Caenorhabditis elegans: one gene and its partners. The protein of the gene in region 2 purifies or fractionates together with the protein of the main gene of each other region. This does not show direct contact. Each region holds a gene or a part of one and is shown on either strand. Other genes may lie near its edges.

Evidence for each region.
Region 1: the proteins of snap-29 (region 2) and syx-4 purify together in Caenorhabditis elegans (affinity purification with western blotting, with the first as the bait; one study listed by BioGRID). This does not show direct contact.
Region 3: the proteins of snap-29 (region 2) and syx-5 purify together in Caenorhabditis elegans (affinity purification with western blotting, with the first as the bait; one study listed by BioGRID). This does not show direct contact.
Region 4: the proteins of snap-29 (region 2) and ogt-1 purify together in Caenorhabditis elegans (co-purification; one study listed by BioGRID). This does not show direct contact.

What each region holds. Positions count from the first base shown.
Region 1 is NC_003282.8:8,455,315-8,459,758, reverse strand, and holds syx-4 (Putative syntaxin-4), read right to left. Parts: upstream 2,480-4,444; 5' UTR 2,479-2,479; coding exon 2,398-2,478; intron 2,304-2,397; coding exon 2,202-2,303; intron 1,975-2,201; coding exon 1,798-1,974; intron 1,652-1,797; coding exon 1,330-1,651; intron 1,131-1,329; coding exon 922-1,130; 3' UTR 826-921; downstream 1-825. Other genes in the region: ant-1.4 (ADP/ATP translocase), read left to right, coding at 1-117, 163-532. UniProt on the Caenorhabditis elegans protein: Potentially involved in docking of synaptic vesicles at presynaptic active zones.
Region 2 is NC_003281.10:8,774,404-8,778,537, reverse strand, and holds snap-29 (Soluble NSF attachment protein 29), read right to left. Parts: upstream 2,286-4,134; 5' UTR 2,273-2,285; coding exon 2,218-2,272; exon of another isoform or gene 2,162-2,217; intron 2,119-2,161; coding exon 1,784-2,118; intron 1,500-1,783; coding exon 1,179-1,499; intron 1,113-1,178; coding exon 990-1,112; 3' UTR 643-989; downstream 1-642. Other genes in the region: Putative NipSnap protein K02D10.1, read right to left, coding at 2,651-2,715, 3,019-3,582, 4,054-4,134. UniProt on the Caenorhabditis elegans protein: SNAREs, soluble N-ethylmaleimide-sensitive factor-attachment protein receptors, are essential proteins for fusion of cellular membranes.
Region 3 is NC_003283.11:11,762,575-11,767,722, reverse strand, and holds syx-5 (Putative syntaxin-5), read right to left. Parts: upstream 2,820-5,148; 5' UTR 2,805-2,819; coding exon 2,616-2,804; intron 2,540-2,615; coding exon 2,357-2,539; intron 2,115-2,356; coding exon 1,643-2,114; intron 1,598-1,642; coding exon 1,500-1,597; intron 1,046-1,499; coding exon 746-1,045; 3' UTR 501-745; downstream 1-500. Other genes in the region: sel-11 (E3 ubiquitin-protein ligase hrd-1), read right to left, coding at 1-106, 152-379; F55A11.1 (EF-hand domain-containing protein), read left to right, coding at 3,345-3,443, 3,575-3,651, 3,697-3,957, 4,070-4,193; T04F3.4 (EF-hand domain-containing protein), read left to right, coding at 4,727-4,769, 4,822-4,876. UniProt on the Caenorhabditis elegans protein: Potentially involved in docking of synaptic vesicles at presynaptic active zones.
Region 4 is NC_003281.10:7,150,425-7,155,864, forward strand, and holds the start of ogt-1 (UDP-N-acetylglucosamine--peptide N-acetylglucosaminyltransferase), read right to left. Parts: upstream 3,374-5,440; 5' UTR 3,347-3,373; coding exon 3,311-3,346; intron 3,118-3,310; coding exon 2,950-3,117; intron 594-2,949; coding exon 422-593; intron 371-421; coding exon 217-370; intron 171-216; coding exon 1-170. UniProt on the Caenorhabditis elegans protein: Addition of nucleotide-activated sugars directly onto the polypeptide through O-glycosidic linkage with the hydroxyl of serine or threonine. Influences tap habituation in the mechanosensory neurons cell autonomously.

The DNA of each region.
Region 1 (4,444 bases), on a different chromosome or scaffold from region 2:
TTTTGCTCGTACCCGTTTGGCTGCTGATGTCGGAAAAGCTAATGAACGTGAATTCAAAGGCCTGGCCGATTGTCTCGTCAAGATCGCAAAGTCGGATGGACCAATCGGACTCTACAGGTATTTTTTCTATTTAGAAAATTTAAAAAATTATTATTTTTTCAGAGGTTTCTTTGTCTCGGTACAAGGTATCATCATCTACCGCGCCGCTTACTTCGGAATGTTCGACACTGCCAAGATGGTGTTCACTGCTGATGGCAAGAAACTCAACTTCTTCGCTGCCTGGGCTATTGCTCAAGTGGTTACTGTTGGATCTGGAATCCTCTCCTATCCATGGGATACTGTTCGTCGTCGCATGATGATGCAGTCTGGTCGCAAAGATGTTCTCTACAAGAATACTTTGGATTGTGCCGTCAAGATCATCAAAAACGAAGGAATGTCCGCCATGTTCAAGGGAGCCCTGTCAAATGTATTCCGTGGAACTGGTGGAGCACTCGTTCTTGCCATCTACGATGAAATCCAAAAGTTCATTTAATGATCTTCAATTGTTTTTGTATTTTTATTTAGTAAAATTATTTTAATTGAAATCGTTTTGTTACTCAAAAAGAGAAACTCTTTTCATGAAAAAATCAATGAACTACGGTCATTTTTGGTCTCTCTGAACAATGAGGAAACCAATGAGGAAAAACAATGTACTTATTTGATATTTAAAATAACCTACGATCTAGACTATTTCTCAATTTTATTTAATTACCAGTTAGTCAAAATTAGGGTTTCCATCAATTTAGCTCTGAAATTGAGCTTGTGAGCCAAAACTGTTCCGATATTGGCAGAAAAACGTTTATTCGTATAAATACTGTAGAAACTTGGAAAAATAATCGAAAAAAAATCACAAAAAATAGACCCGAAGGAATTAAAATAGCATTATTTCCAACCCGGGATGATTGCACCGAGGAAATGGGAGAGAAGGTAGACGACAACGAGCAGGAGCACGATCAGCGCGATGCACGTAACGATCTTCCATTTACGGTTCTTCCGACGCAGCACAACAGCCTGCCGCACGTTCTGCTGGGCTTGCTCCGCATATTCTTCGGCGCGTATCACGCTCGTCTCGATTCGGTCCACTGTTTCGCCTGAAAATTTAATACTTCGCGGTTTTTCAGGGAAGGTACTGAGCGCCTAGCAAAACTGGGACCTCTTGTTTTCGAAGATCTTAATCCTTTCTAATGCCCGCTAGATTTTGTAAAATTGGGAAAGAAAGAAAAGATTTTAGGGCAAGAGCTATGTGTATTAATTAAGCGAGTTTCAGTTAACAAAACATCAATAACTCACCTTGGCTTTGTACCAATAATTGCATATCCACAAAGAGTTCTTCGACCTCGCGAATTTGTTTCTCCAAAATCATAATATCCGTGGCGCGGTTTTTCATATCATCGAATAGTGCCTTCTTCTGCGCAACACCCAGATTAATGTTTCTCGTCAATTGAAAGAGGCTCCCGTTTTCGATGGCACCATCAATTTCCGAATCCGTCACCTCGATGTTCTGCTTTCGGAGGTATGCGGCAATCTTCTTTGCTGCCTCTGCTTTGTAGGAGGCTTGATCATCAGCAAACTGCGACATTATTCCTTCCAGCGAGACGATAAGCATTTGGATCTTAAAAATCAGGAATTAGCGGTTTCGGTTATTCATTTAAAATTTATGATTTTTTTTTCGAGAAAAGGTTGAAAAGAATTAAAATTAGTGTAAATTTGGTCACCGATTTTAGATCTAAGTTCGTTTATTTTCAGACAATTAAGCACCTGTTCGTGTCTTGCTCGCCCCGAGCCCACTCGACTCTCCGGATACTGTACCAGCTCCTCTGAGGCGTCAGCGAGCCGACGACGGATGCCACGTGCTTGAGCTATGAACTTATCCACGTGGTCGTTGAGTTTTCGGCACTTTGCTGTGTCCGAACAGCCGGCTGCCAGTGACTCTACCTGCAATTAGTGGTTTTTGGATGATTTGGCTAAAAGTCGAAAATTTTAATGTTTTGTTTTTTTGTTTTTTTTTGTTTTTTTTTTCGTGAAAGCTTTTAGTTAAAAACAAAGAAAAACATTAGTTTTCAATAAATATTTGATTTTCCGAATATTTTTAAAATTGGAATCAAACTTCGGATTTTTTGAGCATTATTTCTGATTTGTCACAGTTTCTTTTCTCTCTTTACCTGCTCCATGTAAATTGCGTGTCGATCTGCGCTCAGCGTAGTCAAGACATGACGAATTTCGTCGACATTCGCCAGAAATTGTTGCAATGAGACGTCTGCCAACTGAAAAAAAAACATTATTTTCAAGTTTTTGGAAAGAAAAATATAATTTATGTCAAAAATCTTCTTGTATATTAGTTGTTTCCATTTATTCTACCTTTGAATTGTTTTTCTCCGGACTTGCAGCGTTGATTCCAGAGATTTGGTGCATTTCGAATAGACGGTCCCGAGTAGCCATTCTGGAAATTTCGATTTTTACCAAAACAATCGAATTTTAGTGCGATACACGCAAATAGTGGTTTTTTAGGAAACGTTTTTTAGAAAGGCATTGAAATTTAAGCGAAGCTTGAGAAAAAAGAACAAAAATACGATTAAATTTAAAAAAAGTCAATTATGGTTTACGCTAAACAGGGCGCGCCTCCGGTATATCGGAGTCTCGTCGTACTGTAGTTTTGGCTTTAAAAAATTGAAATTTTTTATTTGACTTTTGTGAGATTTTTTGAACAAATATTTAAAGATTATGGAGCTTAAAGCAAAAAAAAAGCACAAAAATTGGAAAACAATTAAACTAGAATATTTTTGAACTTTCGGGAATTCTCCATTGCTCGTTTGTTCCCGACGAACCTCTCTCATTCCTTGGGTTGGTCCCTCGCGAAATCGACATTTGATTTTCCAGACATCTGAAATTTATTTTGCAATTTTTCCAAAAAAATATTTCCATATTTAAGCAAACCGTTTCAAAATTTTCTTCCAGATTATTTCAAATGTTCTTTGTACCATGTTGTTTATTTCAAATTTAAAGATAAGATGCACCTTTTCCTAACATCTGATGTTTTCGTTGACAAAACAAAACATGAATAAAGCAATGTTCCAAGTTGTCATGGACACCCACAATTAACAACAAAGAAAAATATAATAGAAGAGATAAGAGAGATAAATAGTGTTTACACCAGACAAAAGGTGTCATCACAGCTGGTTTGGGTGGCCTGTCGAGGACAAAATTTGCTGTGTCGACTCAAAATATTGGCTAGAAATAATTAAGATTATCTTCAAGTTGCTATTACTTCACATCACCTTGTTTCCAACCATGACAGTTCAAGTGGAAATAAAAAACAGAAACAAGCAACTTTTATACTTTTCCAATTAAAATTAAATTTACTCACCTGAAGATCTTCTCAAATAAATTTATTGAATTAATATGGTTAGTATTAGGTCTCCAAATAAGTTCCGGGTCAAAAATCATAACTTTGTTCGCTGCTTATCGATTTTTATGAAACTGTGGGAATTTATGTTATCAACCATGGTCTTTCATTTGAAAATAGTCACAAAAGTTTTTGACCACCCCAAGTGCACTAACTCGGAGCCAATTTTTTCAGGCATTTTTCTGATATCGCTTCTTTTCAGCTTTGAATTGAGGGTTGTGTGCGGATTTTGCTTTGTTAAGAATACATTATTAGAAAACGACAAAAGTTTGGAAAAAAATCCGTCCAAAAAAATTTTTTTGGTTGGTCGTCAAAAAATCTTCGAAAAAATTTTTTGTCGAAAATTCCTGATTTTTCCTACAAAAATGATGTAACCAAGTGTAAACTATTTTTACACATACAAAACATATCAGTTTAGTTCGAAACACTAAAATGGTAATAGAAAAAAATAATTTTTTCGGATAATTTTTGAGTTTTTTGAATATTTCTTGAGATTCAAACTTCAAACTCAAATGACTTTTATGTGTAAAAATAGTTTACACTTGGTTACATCATTTTTGTAGGAAAAATCAAGAATTTTCTCCAAATGCATTTGCGTCGCGCCTAGGCTCTATTCCATTCGACACCCTCTTCCCCCCAACTTGACCTCCAGGACTATGGCTGGTCCGGCTGGTCATTTCACTTATTTGTTCACACATCTGTTTCACACATCTCTACTTTTTTTTTATCTTCCGGTGTAACTCTTTCTTGTGACAAATAAACAATATTATTATTCGACAAAAAAATTTTTGAAGATTTTTTGATGACCAACCAAAAAAAATTTTTTTGGATGGATTTTTTCCAAACTTTTGTCGGTTTGTAATAATCTATTCTAAACAAAGCAAAATCCAAACACAACCCTCAATTCAAAGCTGAAAAGAACCGAGATCTGAAAAATGCCTGAAAAAATTGGCTCCGAGTTAGAACACTTGGGGTGGTCAAAAACTTTTGTGACTATTGTCA
Region 2 (4,134 bases):
CGCAGAAAAATGCGATGTTTGAAATCAAAGTGCAAGCACGTTCCACGGCTAAATAAACAACTCTCCGCCCCTAAACGTTGGGTCTCGTTAGGTAAAACCGTAATTCAAACTTTTTCAAGCAGTTATAGTTAAAAATGTATGTGAAATTAAACGTTTCAATCATTTTAATAATTTCATCAACATCGAATGTTTAAAAACGTTCAAATTTTCGGTTTTCCTAACGAGACCGAACTGTTGAGGGCGGAGCGTTTTCATTTGCCAATGGAGCGCAGTTGCACCTCGATTCAAAAGTTCTCATTTTCTACGCCTCCATAATATCACTTTTGTATTAAAACAAAGCAAATATTTCCATTTCATCCAATCTCCCAATATTTTTCTTCTCGCGTTCTCTGATCCTCTCTCATTCTAACCATTTCATTTTCCATTTCTTAAAATTCCCGGTGGTCTTAGCCAAAACTTTTTCCAGTTTTCTAGTCCATCTCAAAAATCTATACGTCACAAAAATACATTTCACAACTCAAAAAACAGTCGCCTCTTGCTTTTCTGAACGAATTCTCATAATGTAAATACATATTCTTCCTAATATTTATGAATGTCATAATATTTCCCCTCAAGACTGTTACTTAAAAATGAAGACAATTTCCATGGAATCAATATTCATGTACATATTCACAAGCGACATCCACACACAAAAGCATCCAGATTATACATTTAAAGTTAATATAGAAAGTTCAAAGGGGAATTCGAGGTTGGATCTATCACATTTTTCTTTTTTTTTTCTAATTTTTTTCACATCAATTTATGAACCAATTTTCTCAAAGAAAGAACATAAATGATAGAAACGTGTTAGATTCAAGTTCAGAGATTTAACTCTAAGTGGAGTGTTGGAACAAGAAATAAACTTTTAAATAAGGTAAGTTTAGGGGAATTGAAGTGTTTTTGTTGCACTAGAGGACGGTGAGCCGGAAGAAAAAAAAGTAAAAAATCAATCATTTCCACAAAGACGTGGCCTTCATCATGAGAGACATCTTTGTCGAAGTATCCATGCTTGGGGTCAGAGACTCGGCTGTAGTTTGGCTTGTTGATGCACCAGTTCCCAGAATCTTTTGCATCTGAAAATATGTCAGTTAGTTGAGTTAACTCTTAATATATTTATCGTGTATCTTGTTTATCCTTACTTGTTTATCCTGATCTCTAACAATTCCATCGTTACGTTCAGCTTTGTATTGAATACGATCGAGCATCTCATTTTGTGAATCGACCTCTTTTCCGAGATCGGCTCCAAGACGTTGCAAGTTCCGAAGATTGGCGGACATCATGTCAAGATTCTCATCAATTTGATTATCCATAGCTTCCCAACGTGTACCTTTAATTGCCGAACGACTAGATTCGGTCAAGGTTCGTTGTCCAGATGGTCCAGAGAATGTTGCGGATCCACCACCGCTGGAGAGGTTGGTAGCGGTTTCCGACAAACGGGATGCTGATTTGGATTGCGGGACCTATAAATATATCAATTTTATGACGTATTATGGTATATTCTCGGAAAATTATTAATTTTTATATCGAAAATAAAATGATTCCAGTAGTTCCAAATGTTATATTCTACTAAAATTATGTAAGATTTTGAACGCTTTCTTTATTCAAAAACAATGCTCCATTTTTTAATATTAGAAATTTATCAACTCTCCAAAAACTCAAAACTCGTGTTCTTTGAGACTACAGAAATCCTATAGTACTTTGTAGTTTCTGAATACAAAAATTCCAGTTTAAAAGTTAAACTCACAGTCGGAGTTTCCGTCGGCTCTTGCGGTTTCTTCGTGAATTTATTTTTGAACATTCCACCGAAAAACGACTTCAAACTATTCAAATTGCGTTGTGTCATTTGCGTGGTTCGATGAATCTCATCTAAATTCTTTTCAGTATTCTCAAGCTTCTCCCGTTGCTCAAGCAACTGCTGAGCAGTCGACGTTCCGATTTTCTCCGAATTTTCGAGATGACGACGAGATCTTTCCGTACTATCCAATGATTCCTGCAGAGTTTTCTCGATTTCACGCTCGTAGTAGTCTGCTTCGTCTTCTCCGGAATAATGTCCCATCGTAGTGTAACTTTTTACGGGCACTGAAACAGAGAAAAATCAATTTTCTAGAATTTTTCCGTACTAGATAATGCTTTTAAATTTTCTGATGGATTTGTAAAAAAATAGAATTAAAAACTCACTTGTAGAAGAAGCAGCACTCGGCCTGTAGTCATCATCGAATGGATTACGAGACATTGATGAAGTTTCTAGAAGTTCAAGTTTACGAAATGAACAGAATAAATAACTTTTTAGAATAGATACAAATGGCGGAAAAAGTAATATAACCGCGTGAAAAAAAAATGAACAGTGAAAATAAAATAGTATATGCAATATTTATAAAGAGACTGGAAACCAAAATGTGGTGGGGAAAAAACTCGAGGGGAAAATAATATACATGAGAAAACGCGGGAGAGGGGAAGAAATTAAAATTAGCACAGACACCAGTACATATAATATACGATTGACTATTTGAAAATGAAAATGTGTGTGGCAAAATTAAAACGTACAAGCATTTCTTCTATATTAACCTATTCAATTTCTCAATTTGTGAATTATGACAAACATGAGAAATGTTTATTCCAGTTGAGAATATTTGGTTGGAGTCAAAATTTTCGATTGCATCTTCTTGATGAGAGGCACTGAAAAAATAAATATTTGTTTCCGTTAAAAATAACAGAAAATCTGATTTTTAGGTTATTTTTTCGGTTTTTTGTTGCGAAAATTTCAAAATCCTATGGCATTTTGTTTGAAAATTAGGAAAAACAAGAAAAAATCGAAATTTTCTAGATTTTAGTGTGTAAAAAATAATCAAAAATCCGGTTTCCCGCGGGAAAGTCAGAAATTTCGGGTTTTTTCTAAAATTTGACAAAAAAGTTTGTTTAATTTTTCTCAATTTTTTGTTTTTCATTTGTATTATTCGAGAAGACAAATTTCAGACTAACCAGTATTCGCAACAGTTGCATCCCATCCTGGCTTTGCCCAAGTAGCATGTCTCGTATCGTTACGGCCTGACATTGATGGATAAGCCCAAATGTGATAGACAACATAGAGTTGTCCAACTTGAGCAAAGAATCCTCCAACATCTTGATTCGCCTCACGTCTGTATTGAATTCCTTTTGCCCATGCAGATGCCCAATCAATCATAGTTCCAGGTTGAAGAACATATGAACGAAGATCATAAACATGATTTGGTGGTCGTTGTTCTGGTTCTCTCCAATAGCTGAATGATTTTACTATGAGATTCTTGCGGCGACCACACAGTTTAGCAACGTCATTATCAGCTGCACGGATTCCAGAATCTTTTCCATGAAGAGAAATCGATGAATCAACATCTTCATAACCTTTGTTATGTCTCCACAGATGAATTGCCTGATCACGAGTTCTTCCATAAGCACATGTCCATGATCCAACAAGTTCAATTGATGGATTCTTTTGATTCATTTCGTTTTTATACTTTCCAAAAGCATCTAAATATGCATCCTGCTCTCCTGGGCGGTAGTTGTGAGCTGAAAAATATTGTTTTAAAAAGTTAAATATATGACACAAATAAGTATTTTATACAGTCTATTTTTTATTTTTCATCTATGACTTCAAAGGCGCATTAAGACATTTTTTAAAATCAATGGGTGGCGCGTGGTGAGACCATTTCGTATAAATGCGCGCGCCTTTGAAGTCGTAGAAGAAGAATAAAAAACACTGTAAAATAATAATAAAATTGTTATAAGTAAAATTAGTATTTAGAGCATTTTTCAAAAATTTAATGACAGAAAATGAATCGTAATGACCAAATATGTCATTTTTGAAAAATTCACACTTTTTCCAGATATAATACACGATTTTTTAAATTTTGCAAAAAAGTTTAATCGGGTAAATCGTTTTTGATTTCCCGAAAATCATTATAATTTTTTAAACAATTATTTTCGCTCATTACGGTTCATTTTCTATAATTTAAATTCTCAATTTTTTAAAAAACTTACTCATGAACTCGTACATGAGCTCTGAATTCGAGAGCAACGACGAATGTGACTGTTTCTGCCAACTCGATGGATCCATTGATT
Region 3 (5,148 bases), on a different chromosome or scaffold from region 2:
GAAGACCAATAAATTGCATAACGAATATTGCTGAGAAATCATCACGGAATACAGTGAATGCGAGACATGTTTCCAGAACTGCATGCCATGTACGTTCTGACAGATGCTGAAATTTATTTATGTTCAGTACTGATTTAATATTGAAAATTACCTCAGCCTCTGCAGCTCTCAAATCTCCGAATAAAATAGACTTGAGCAATTGGAACATGAGATATACAAGAACAATTCCTTGAACATATATCACTGCCATACTTGCATTGCTTTTTGAGAGATATACGATTGATGGATAGAACTGTTTGTTGATCAGGAACGCGTTGAGTATGGTGGCCGCAGTCGCCACACACGAGCCACCAATCATTAGTCCAGCTGATACCCTCATCTGAATTCCGAGGGATCTGAAAATAATTATGAACCAAAAAATTACAATAATAATAATAATAAGAAGTAAGAGTTGGTTCAAAATACCATGAATATAAGAAATAATATGAATAGTTTTGATTAAAATTTAAAAAGCTTTATGCTAAAAATAGAGAAGATTTTAATCACAGGCGGAGTTCTACCATCAATTTCCGGGTCAAGACAGAGAAGTAAAAGCTAATTCATGGAAATAATAGTAGAGGAAAATAATGATTATAGGTGATAGGAGAAGCAATTTGAATTTACTTTTCCACTTTTTTTACAATAGACACATTCAAACAAGTCAGCAATCACGGAAAAAAAAAGAACCAATGAAAAATGGAAATGTTTAGGTGAGGAAAAGAACAAATACAACAAAGAAAACCATGAGAACTCCAAAAACTTGAATCATTAACCATCGATTTTTGCTAATATTTTGAAGATATCTCACAAGCTCTGAATGTGCCATATCAATATTAAGAGCTGTATCTTCAACATTTGAATCGATTCTTGTTATCATCTCTCCTTGCTCACTGACGAGTGAAGCCAGTTGAGAGAAAATTTGGCCAAGTTCGGAGATGGATCCTTCAATTGTCGCCATGGTGTTGCTACGGGCTTGCGCATATTCCAATGATGAATCTCTTTGTTGCTGAAAATATTTGTTTCTTGGAAAGTGTTTAAAAAAACTAACTATATTCTATCTATTTTTTTGTTTGATTTTTGAGCAATTTACAGTTTTCACGATTTTTATGTTTTCAATAAACGCTCAAAAATGTCTACAATATTCTATCAAGTCATAATTTTTGGTTAATACTATTAGAAATATAATTTTTAAATTTTTAAAGAAAAAAACGAATTCCAAAGAAAATATTAACATTTCCTAACTAAAATCATAGAAATCTTACAAATTTTTTGTAACATCGCAATTTTTCAAATGTATTCTTTGCTGTTCTAAATTAGTTTCGATAAAACTTGCTTTATTGGCAAAAAATATTAATTTTTAAAAAAAGTTTCACTGTACTTCTCCTAAACACGGAGCATTGGAAATTTAATATTGATAGTTTTTCAAAAAAAATTTCATATTTTTCAAATTGAAAACTTACCATAGTCTGTTGTGATTGCATGTTTGACAGAGCACCCATATCCAGAGCTATGCTTGAGGAGCCATGCTGCTCATCATCTTGAAGAAGCTTTGAACGAACTAAAATTTCAGATTTTTATTGAATGAGCGAGGAAAATAAAATACCATTAGCTCCGGAAGAGGAGGAAGGAAGTCCCATTGGAACTGCTGCACCACTCGAGAATTTATCTCGGCGATTTTTTTCAGCCTTCATTGTTTCTGTACTAATTTCCAGTACGCTTTGATAATCTTTTCCGACATTCGCTAATTTTGACTGCAATCCAACTACAACTAATTGTATATGTCCACTATTTTGATTTTTCATGTTTCCTGCACGTCTTTTTGAAAATTCTTGAAGTTGTCCGATCTGTTTGTTCAAACCCGTAATGTCAGACTTGACAATTGATGAAAGATGGTCAATTTGAGATCGTTCTTCATAGCAGCTCTTTTTCTTAGCATATTCGGCAAGTTTTTCCATTTTTGCACACGTTTGACTCAATTCTTTTCCGATTCGCTTTGCGAGTTGATTGAACTGCACGGATTCAGATAGCATCTCATGCTTTGGTTGAGGTCTAATTCCATTTGCGGCTGCTTTCATCTGAAAAATTATATGTTACCCGAATTTTATATAAATAATAAAAATATTATCGCCTAGAATGTTTTTAAAAATATTAACAGGTGATTCGTGTTTCTTTTTTCTGTTCGAAGTGTATTTCGAGTTTCGCAAAAATCGATATATTCGTCTCGTCCAAATGTTGATGTGAAACCCGAATAACACGTTTTAAAAGTAAATGTTTCGAAATAAAAGCTTATTTTTAGAAGTTTAATGAAAAAACTCACTTCGTATGATTTGGCTGTCGCCCGGAATTCCGAAGTTCGATCTCTTGATGGCATTGTGATAATGATATGATCAAGTGGATTTCCAAAAATACTCAGCGATTCAAGTGTTTCTACTACCTTTGATCGATCTGCGTCTATGCTTTCAGTGCCTTCCGCTGTGTCGTAGGAGGATACAAGCGCCTCCTGAAAGATATATGCATGAAAAAATAAAAACCAGAAATATACAGATAGCCATCTTTCTTCGTTCCGATAGACAAACCTGCGCAGAATTCCAAAGTTGTGAAGCTGACGCGTTGAAAACGGTTGTGAGAGAGCTATACGCGAAACTAGTCGGAGCAACTGCTGAAGTGTGATTCTTCTGATCTGGATCGTAATCAAAATCGACTGTTGAGTAAGAACTGGCTTCTGGTATTCGTCGACGAGATCTAATGTTGTGAAAGTCCGACATCCGACATCGAACAAACTGAAAAATATTGTTTAAATGACTGAAAGCGTCGAAAAGATTAATATATTCAAATGTCACGGTAAAAATATTATTTCAAAAGAAAAACAAATAACAAATATTTCGCTGCATTGTCGCAACAGTCCACTAAACCGGCTCGACTTCGTGGAGAAGAAAATCAATGTGTGGTCGGAGGTTGTGCGTGGCGTTGCGTATTTTATGCGCAACAAACACGCTCCTCAATGCACTAGTTTTTCTTTTTTTTTTGTTTAATTTTCAGTTTAAGTTTTATATTTCTCAACCAAAATGCTCAGTCAAGTTAATTTTATTAAAAAAATACACATAACTTTTCGTTTCGATTTATTGTTTTAAGAAATTTCAGCGATTACCGTAAGATTTGGAACACGTTGCCTCCCGATTACCGTATCTCCCCGTAAATCGACACAAATAAAATAACAGCTTCCACTTCACGCTTCCGTTTTTGATTCCGTTTTCTGTATTCTTACTTAGTTTTGTCTATATTTTAGTGATTATAATATTACAGGAATGGCAGCCAACATTTTGGTGGTATCTTGCCTCATTCTTGGTTCCTTTGCCCACCAACCACAGCAGTTTCCTGGTTCTAATCAACAGCAACCACAACAGGTAAACAATGTTTGTAAAGAATAATAAGAAAATTATTTTCGCTAGAAATTGAACTGAAAAACAATCTGGATACAGTGATTTTTATTATTTTAAAGCTTCTTTAATTTTGTAAATTGTATTGAATAAATCAGGGTGGCCAAGCGGAACAAGCTCAACATGCTCAGCCTGGGCAACAGCAGTTTGGTGGAGAACAGGCCAGAGATGAACAGTAAGTTTTAATAACAATTTTCAAAATTAATTTAAAACATTTCAGCCACATAAAAGAACATTTGGACGGAAAAGTGGACCCAACTGCTAACATGACGCCAGAACAACTTCAATTCCATTATTTCAATATGCACGATTTAGATAAAAATGGGAAACTGGATGGAGTCGAGTTGATTAAGGCAATAACGCATTTCCATGCCGAGAATCCAGGACCACAGCATACACAAAATAATGCCAATGCCAATCATCAGCCACCACCACTCCCAAGTGAAGTTGAATTGGAGACGATGATTGATAGTATTTTAAAGTGAGATATATATTTAATTAATTTATTTTCTAGAGACTACTGCTAGCAATTAGCATAAGAAAGCACTAAAATATTCAAAGTCTTAAAAAAATACTTTACTGAATATTTTCAGGGACGACGATTTCAATGCTGATGGCTTCATCGACTACGGAGAGTTCCTCAAAGCACAAAAGCTTCGAGAAGATCAAGCAAGATCTCACCAGGAACAAATGCAGAAAGCTGGTGGCACACAATAATCGAGAATTCTGATTAGGACAACGATCTAATTAATAGCCATAATTTCCAATTCCTCGTTTCCAAAGTTTTCAATGTTTTATTAACATTCTACGTCTTTTGATGGGTTATATCGACTGCTGTAACAAATCATTTTATCATACTATCCTCGTCACTTTTAACACTTTAACTGGTACATAATAGTCAGACACCCTCCCCATTTCCCAGTCCTACAACTTTAGTTATTTTTCCAATTTTGCATTTTCCCCATCATTTCTCAAGTTGTGATGATTTTTCGAAACCCATTTGTAAAAAGCATAATTTATTGGTTTATCTTATAGTTAGTTGAGATCGAATAAAAACAAATGAAAATTTGTATTTAGCACCTGTAACAATAAAATTCATGTTTGCTTTTGCTTTTGCACTACCAAATTTTGCGTTGGAACTAAAAGGCGAAGCAGGGGGAGACTGATAATAAAATATTGACATTTGGCAGTCTTGAGAAAAAGAGTTTTCTGTCTATTTCTATTGATTTTATACATATTCCCACTCTATAATGCGTGGATTTTTATTCATCTCAACTGTATTCCTTCTATTAGGTATGCAAATCTGTTTATAACTTTCTAATGTTTATAAATTATTAAATTTTAGTGCTAGAAGCTCAAGGAGCAAAGTTTGCTGAAGAAAAAGAAGTACACGATGAAGAGTAAGTGCAAGTGTACGTATGAAAATTAGTTTGGTTAAAGTAAATGTAGATGCAATTATATGCCATATGCGAAATTTAGCAATTTTCGCGCTAAAAGCACATAACTCGGTCTCGACACGACACTTCTTGTCAAATACAAGCGGATGTGTGCCTCTAATGAGGACTGTAATTTTTTAATTTCATCGATCTTTCATTGTTGGTACACTATTTTTCAAAATTTATATGATTTAATTGATTTTTTTATTTTGAAAAAATTAACTAAAGCATTTGAG
Region 4 (5,440 bases), 1.6 Mb from region 2:
CTAAATTGATATAAGCATCAATGAATTCTGGCTTGAGTTTAACAGCTAGTTTGTAGTTTTCAAGTGCATCCTGTAGTTGTCCTTTCTCTTTATAGTAATTTCCAAGGTTACTGTAGGCTTCTGCACACTGATTATTGACTTTGATGGCTAACATTGAATATTGCATTGATCTGAAAATAGATGTCCATAAAAAGAAACACTGGAGTAAAAACTCACTTTTCCAAATTTTTAGTTTGGAAATTGATGGCTGAGAGGAGCAATAGCGTTGGCAAGTTATTTGGGTCACTTTGAAAAACCAAATTGCAATATTTCTCTGCTTCCACATAATTTCCTGATTGAAACTGCCGATGAGCCAATTCAGTGACTTTTTCTGTAAACCAATTTATATTTTCAATTGTTCAAAATTAAACTCAAAACTCACTTAATGTTTCACTGACTCCATTTAAAACGACAGTAGGTTGTGGTGCAAGAGCAATTGGTTGAGCAAGTGACTGTTGAGGTGTCAAAAGAAGTTGTTGTTGTACAGCAGTTGCTCCATTTAATTGAAATTGCTGGTTGACTGCTAACTGCTGTGCCGCTTGATTTTCGAGTTGCTGAATATTATTAATTAGGCTTAAACAATTGGCATTCTACAATATTTCAGAAATTTTCAAAATTTAATTTAAAGGAGGACTAACGGTTCAGAGTATTTTGTATGTAATTTTACCTAAAATGTGCTCAAATGAACGATTTTCATAATGAAAATTCTCAATACCTTTTCAAAAATGTTCTATGGCGGTTCAAAGTTTCGAAAAACTTTTTCACAATTTTGAACCGCCATAAAAAAAACCAAAAAAGCTCAAACCTTTCTAAATCGAACCATTTTTCTTTGAAACATTCTCCACTAAGATAGGCAGCTAGGGTTACAAGATTGAGATGATAATGAAAAAGTGACAAATGTGGCAAAAAGAATATATCAATTGAAGGTTCTCTTGACCCAAAAGTTCAATACTCTCTTAAAGGGGGAGTAGAGTTTGTGGGGAAATATATGTTTCTGACTCTAATTTTGCCCCTGATGCCGAATATCGATGTGAAAAAATTCAAAAAAATTTCCCTGATTTTATAATAATTTTTAAAATCCGAAAATTCATTGGATGCCTATATGTGAGTTTTCAAACGTTGAATTTTCCCGCCAGAGACGCCCCGCCCACGAAACCGTGCCCCAAGTGTGGGTTTACGAGATGAAAATTTTCCTTCTATTTTTATTTGATTTTATACCGATTTTCGTCGATTTTTCTCATTTTTTCGCTGTTTTATATTGAAATTTTTGTTATTTCTCTTAAATTATGCCTTTCTATTGATAAAATACACAAAATTCCATGAAAAATTCCATTTTCAGCACAAATTCGACGGGAAATGAGGAAAATCGCGGAGACACGACGATTTTTTGGAAAGTGAGTACTTCTTATAGAAAATATTATTTAAAAAACAATTGAAAAGTAAGAATCGCTAAATAATTAAGCCTAAAACATCCTAAAAATCATCAGTATGTCGATTTATTCGGCAAATATCTTACTATCGTAATAAATTAAATTAAACTTCCTATTTTAATCCTAGTGCTTATCAATAGTCTCTTTACAAATCTCAATAACGAAAGTTCTCCACATTAATACAAACATTTAACATTTCAGTTATCCGGAACACGTTGATTCGTCGCGCTCCCGAGGACTATCTTCGATTTTTGTAGTTTTTTTTCCCAAAAATGTTTTTTTGTAAAGTTTATTGAATATAAACAGTCTTATAATAAATTTACTTGTCTTGTCTAAAAAACTAAAGCATTACACACGAATAAGTAATAGATTTATTGTCCGCGGTTGCCTCCACCTTGTTTCCCGTCGAATTTGTGCTGAAAATGGAATTTTCCATGGAATTTTTTGTATTTTATCAATAGAAAGGCATAATTTAAGAGAAATAACAAAAATTTCAATATAAAACAGCGAAAAAATGAGAAAAATCGACGAAAATCGGTATAAAATCAAATAAAAATAGAAGGAAAATTTTCATCTCGTAAACCCACACTTGCGGCACGGATTCGTGGGCGGGGCGTCTCTGGCGGGAAAATTCAACGTTTGAAAACTCACATATAGGCATCCAATGAATTTTCGGATTTTAAAAATTATTATAAAATCAGGGAAATTTTTTTGAATTTTTTCACATCGATATTCGGCATCAGGGGCAAAATCAGAGTCAGAAACATATATTTCCCCACAAACTCTACTCCCCCTTTAATATCTAACCGGTTTTTTCTCTTTTTCTCTCAATTTTGTATACGACCAATGTCTGTTTCTATTTATATGTTAGTCTCTAGATCATCATCATCATCATGTCCAGTAAGAGAACGAGAGAATGCATATCACGTCATTTATTAAAATGACTTATTCTTGTTTTTCATGTTTTTGGTGCATAAAAAGTTTTGTTCTGAATAATTTAAACTTTTTATCACTTATTTGTTTTATTGCATTTATTCTATAAAATAAAATCGAAAGGACATTTATGTATTTACACATATGTTTCATCATTTAGAAAATTTTAGCTCGATTTTTGAGTTTTTCGGGTAATATTTTAAGAAAAAACTACCTGGTCTCACCACGCAAAATGTTTATTAAATGCGAGAAAATATACTTATTAATTTTTAAAAAAAGCTCAAATGTATTTAAAAAACAAGACAATTTCGCAGTAATGAAAATTTGAAACTACAGTACTCCTCAAAGGCGCACACCTTTTCGACTTTAATCAATATATGTCGTTTCGAGACCGGGTTCTGTATTTTAAGCACAAAAATCGCTAAATTTCGCGTCTGGGTAATCTATTTTAGAAATGTTAGGTTTATTTTCTGTTTGATAAATTTTTTGGTCTGCTTTTCAAACCTTAAAATTTTGTTTAATTTTTAATGTTTTTTGTTTAACAAACCGTTCGAATAGCCTGCTGAACGAGATTCGCGAAACCAGGAGTCTGCATAATGTTGGCCATGTTTGCTGCCGATACTCCAGCAACTCCTCCAGGAGCAATTGATGGTGCAAGTACAGGATGTGGAGGTACTGCTCCGGGAGCCAATTGCTCTCCGGTTGCTCCTATCACCTGAAGCTTTTAAATAGAATTAGTAAGGAATTGAAGAATAAAGGAGAAAAAATAGTTAAATTTCAACTTTACAGTGTTGGAAAGTCTCAGTTCCGAAATAGTTTTTTTTGTAATTATATTTTTAATATTTTTAATTAGAAAAAATTTGAATACAATTTTATTTTCTATTTGAAAACAAAAAATAATTGTTAACCTTATTATACGACTGAAAGTAATTGGGCTTCTCCATCGTCTAATCCATTCGATATAATTCTGAAATTTGGAAATTGAACTATTGGAAACAAGAAAAAGCCAAAAAAGAAAATAATTTCAAGAAAACTGAAATTTAAATTCAAGAGGGAACAACAAGACGAAAAATTCAACAAAAGTGGAAAAAGAACGAAAATAGTGAGAGAGTGAAGAGACGTAAAAGAGATGCCAAAGACCACTGCCTGGGTCTCCACACTCTACCTACTATCTCTGATTTCTCTAAAACCTCTTCCTATCGGCCCTTCAAGTGTATGTTCTGATACGATTAGAGACAAGAGACGCAGAGATAAGAAAAAGAGATTATGTAAGAAATGGAGGGTAGAGAAAAATAGATGAACAGACCATGATTGGCCTTGAGGGAAGCCGGAAAATGGCCCGTAAAAAGATGGAACGGGATTGGGGTATAGCAGGCTAGGAATGTCGCGGCTTTTGAATTCGTTCAATATTTTAGAGTGGCAATGAATATTTATTTTTAAAATGTTTTAAGATTAAAAAAAAATAAAAGAAAATCCGAAAATTGTTCAGCATTTGAGAAAATTCATAAAATATACATCATAAGAGCTGGGTCAGTGCTGAAAATACAAGCTTCCTAAATCTCAATAATCCCTGCTACACGAGAATATAATCTTCTACAAATCTCCGTTCAATTAATCTCAATTTCCATTAGGCACGTGCTTGGTTTTTTCCAGTACCCTGGAGTTAATAGAGCTTTTTGAAATCAAAACTCTGATTTTAGTCAATTGAAATTATTACTTACAATTAAAATAAATTTTTACTCTTATGCATTTTGCTCTTATAAATTTTGTAATATGAAAAGTACCGTATCCAATACAGAATTTGAATTCAAAACAATATTAGTATCAAAAGACCGTATCATATCTAAAAGCAAAAAACACGAAAAACATGTGAGAGAATTAAAAAGAATGATGGCGGCAAAGAGAGTGAGGAAAAGAGGGGAAAAGCGAGAATTGATGTCATTTGTGAACTTTGAATCTCTACTCGTAAAACGGAATTTGATTCTTTATTGAGCTCGATACGTGGCAGGAGCAATTTAAACTTTCTTTCGAGTATAGTTTGCTTCCTTGTTAGATATACCCCTTGATTATAAAGAAAATTTCATATAAGTAAGAAAACTCAGATTTTGTGAAAAGAAAGAGTTAGCAGGAAAATAATCAAACTGTGACTTGGAACTACAGAGGACATTGTAAATTTGGAAACATTTTCTGAAAAGCAGAGTTTCGGAAATTTTTGAATTGAAAACCTTCACCAGATAGAATTTCTCGTGTTTTATATAACAGATTTTGCAGAAAACGTATTTATTCTTTCTTTTTCCAGTGAGTGTTTTAACACTTAGTACATGGAAATGCTATACGCATCAAAACCAGGAAATGAAGTAGGAACTGGAAAATGTTTCTTGCTCTCTAAACATTAAACATCAATCCTCCATTGGACCAGAATATAGAATTCGAAGATCAGAGATCACTTTTGCAATTTCTAGATTTTGGTCAAGAAAAGTGAAAGAACGGAAGACATCAGTGTTCAAACGAAGTGGGAAAGTAAATAAAAACAAAACAAAGACCAAATGATTGTAATGCTTCTGATGGGTTGAATAGAGAAACTATATTCTCATTTACTTTATAAAAAACAAATATCTTAGAATTTTGATAATGTTTCCTATTGTTTTCCTAAGCAAAAGCACAAACACAGAGCACACACAGCAGTGACGTCATTTTCGACACGAGTCACTCGCGGCACTAGAGAGACTCTAAAGATTAAAATAAATTTTCAGTAGTACGGTAAAACCCAAACGTGGCAATATAATATGAATAAAACCCAAAGTACGCATAATTTGAAAAGTGTGCGTGGGGTAATAGAGAGAATAGAGAAGCTGTCCTTTTTCTCTTGAAAAAGAGCAAGTCCTCTTTTCTACATCGTCCTTTTTCTTCATCTTCTTCCAGTTTGTCTATCTTTTCTGCGTCTCTTCACTCTCAACTCCCCCCACTTTGTCGACCACGGGGTATCCCCGTTGGTCTTGTGAAAGTGAGATAGTATTGTGAATCGAGATATCACTAGA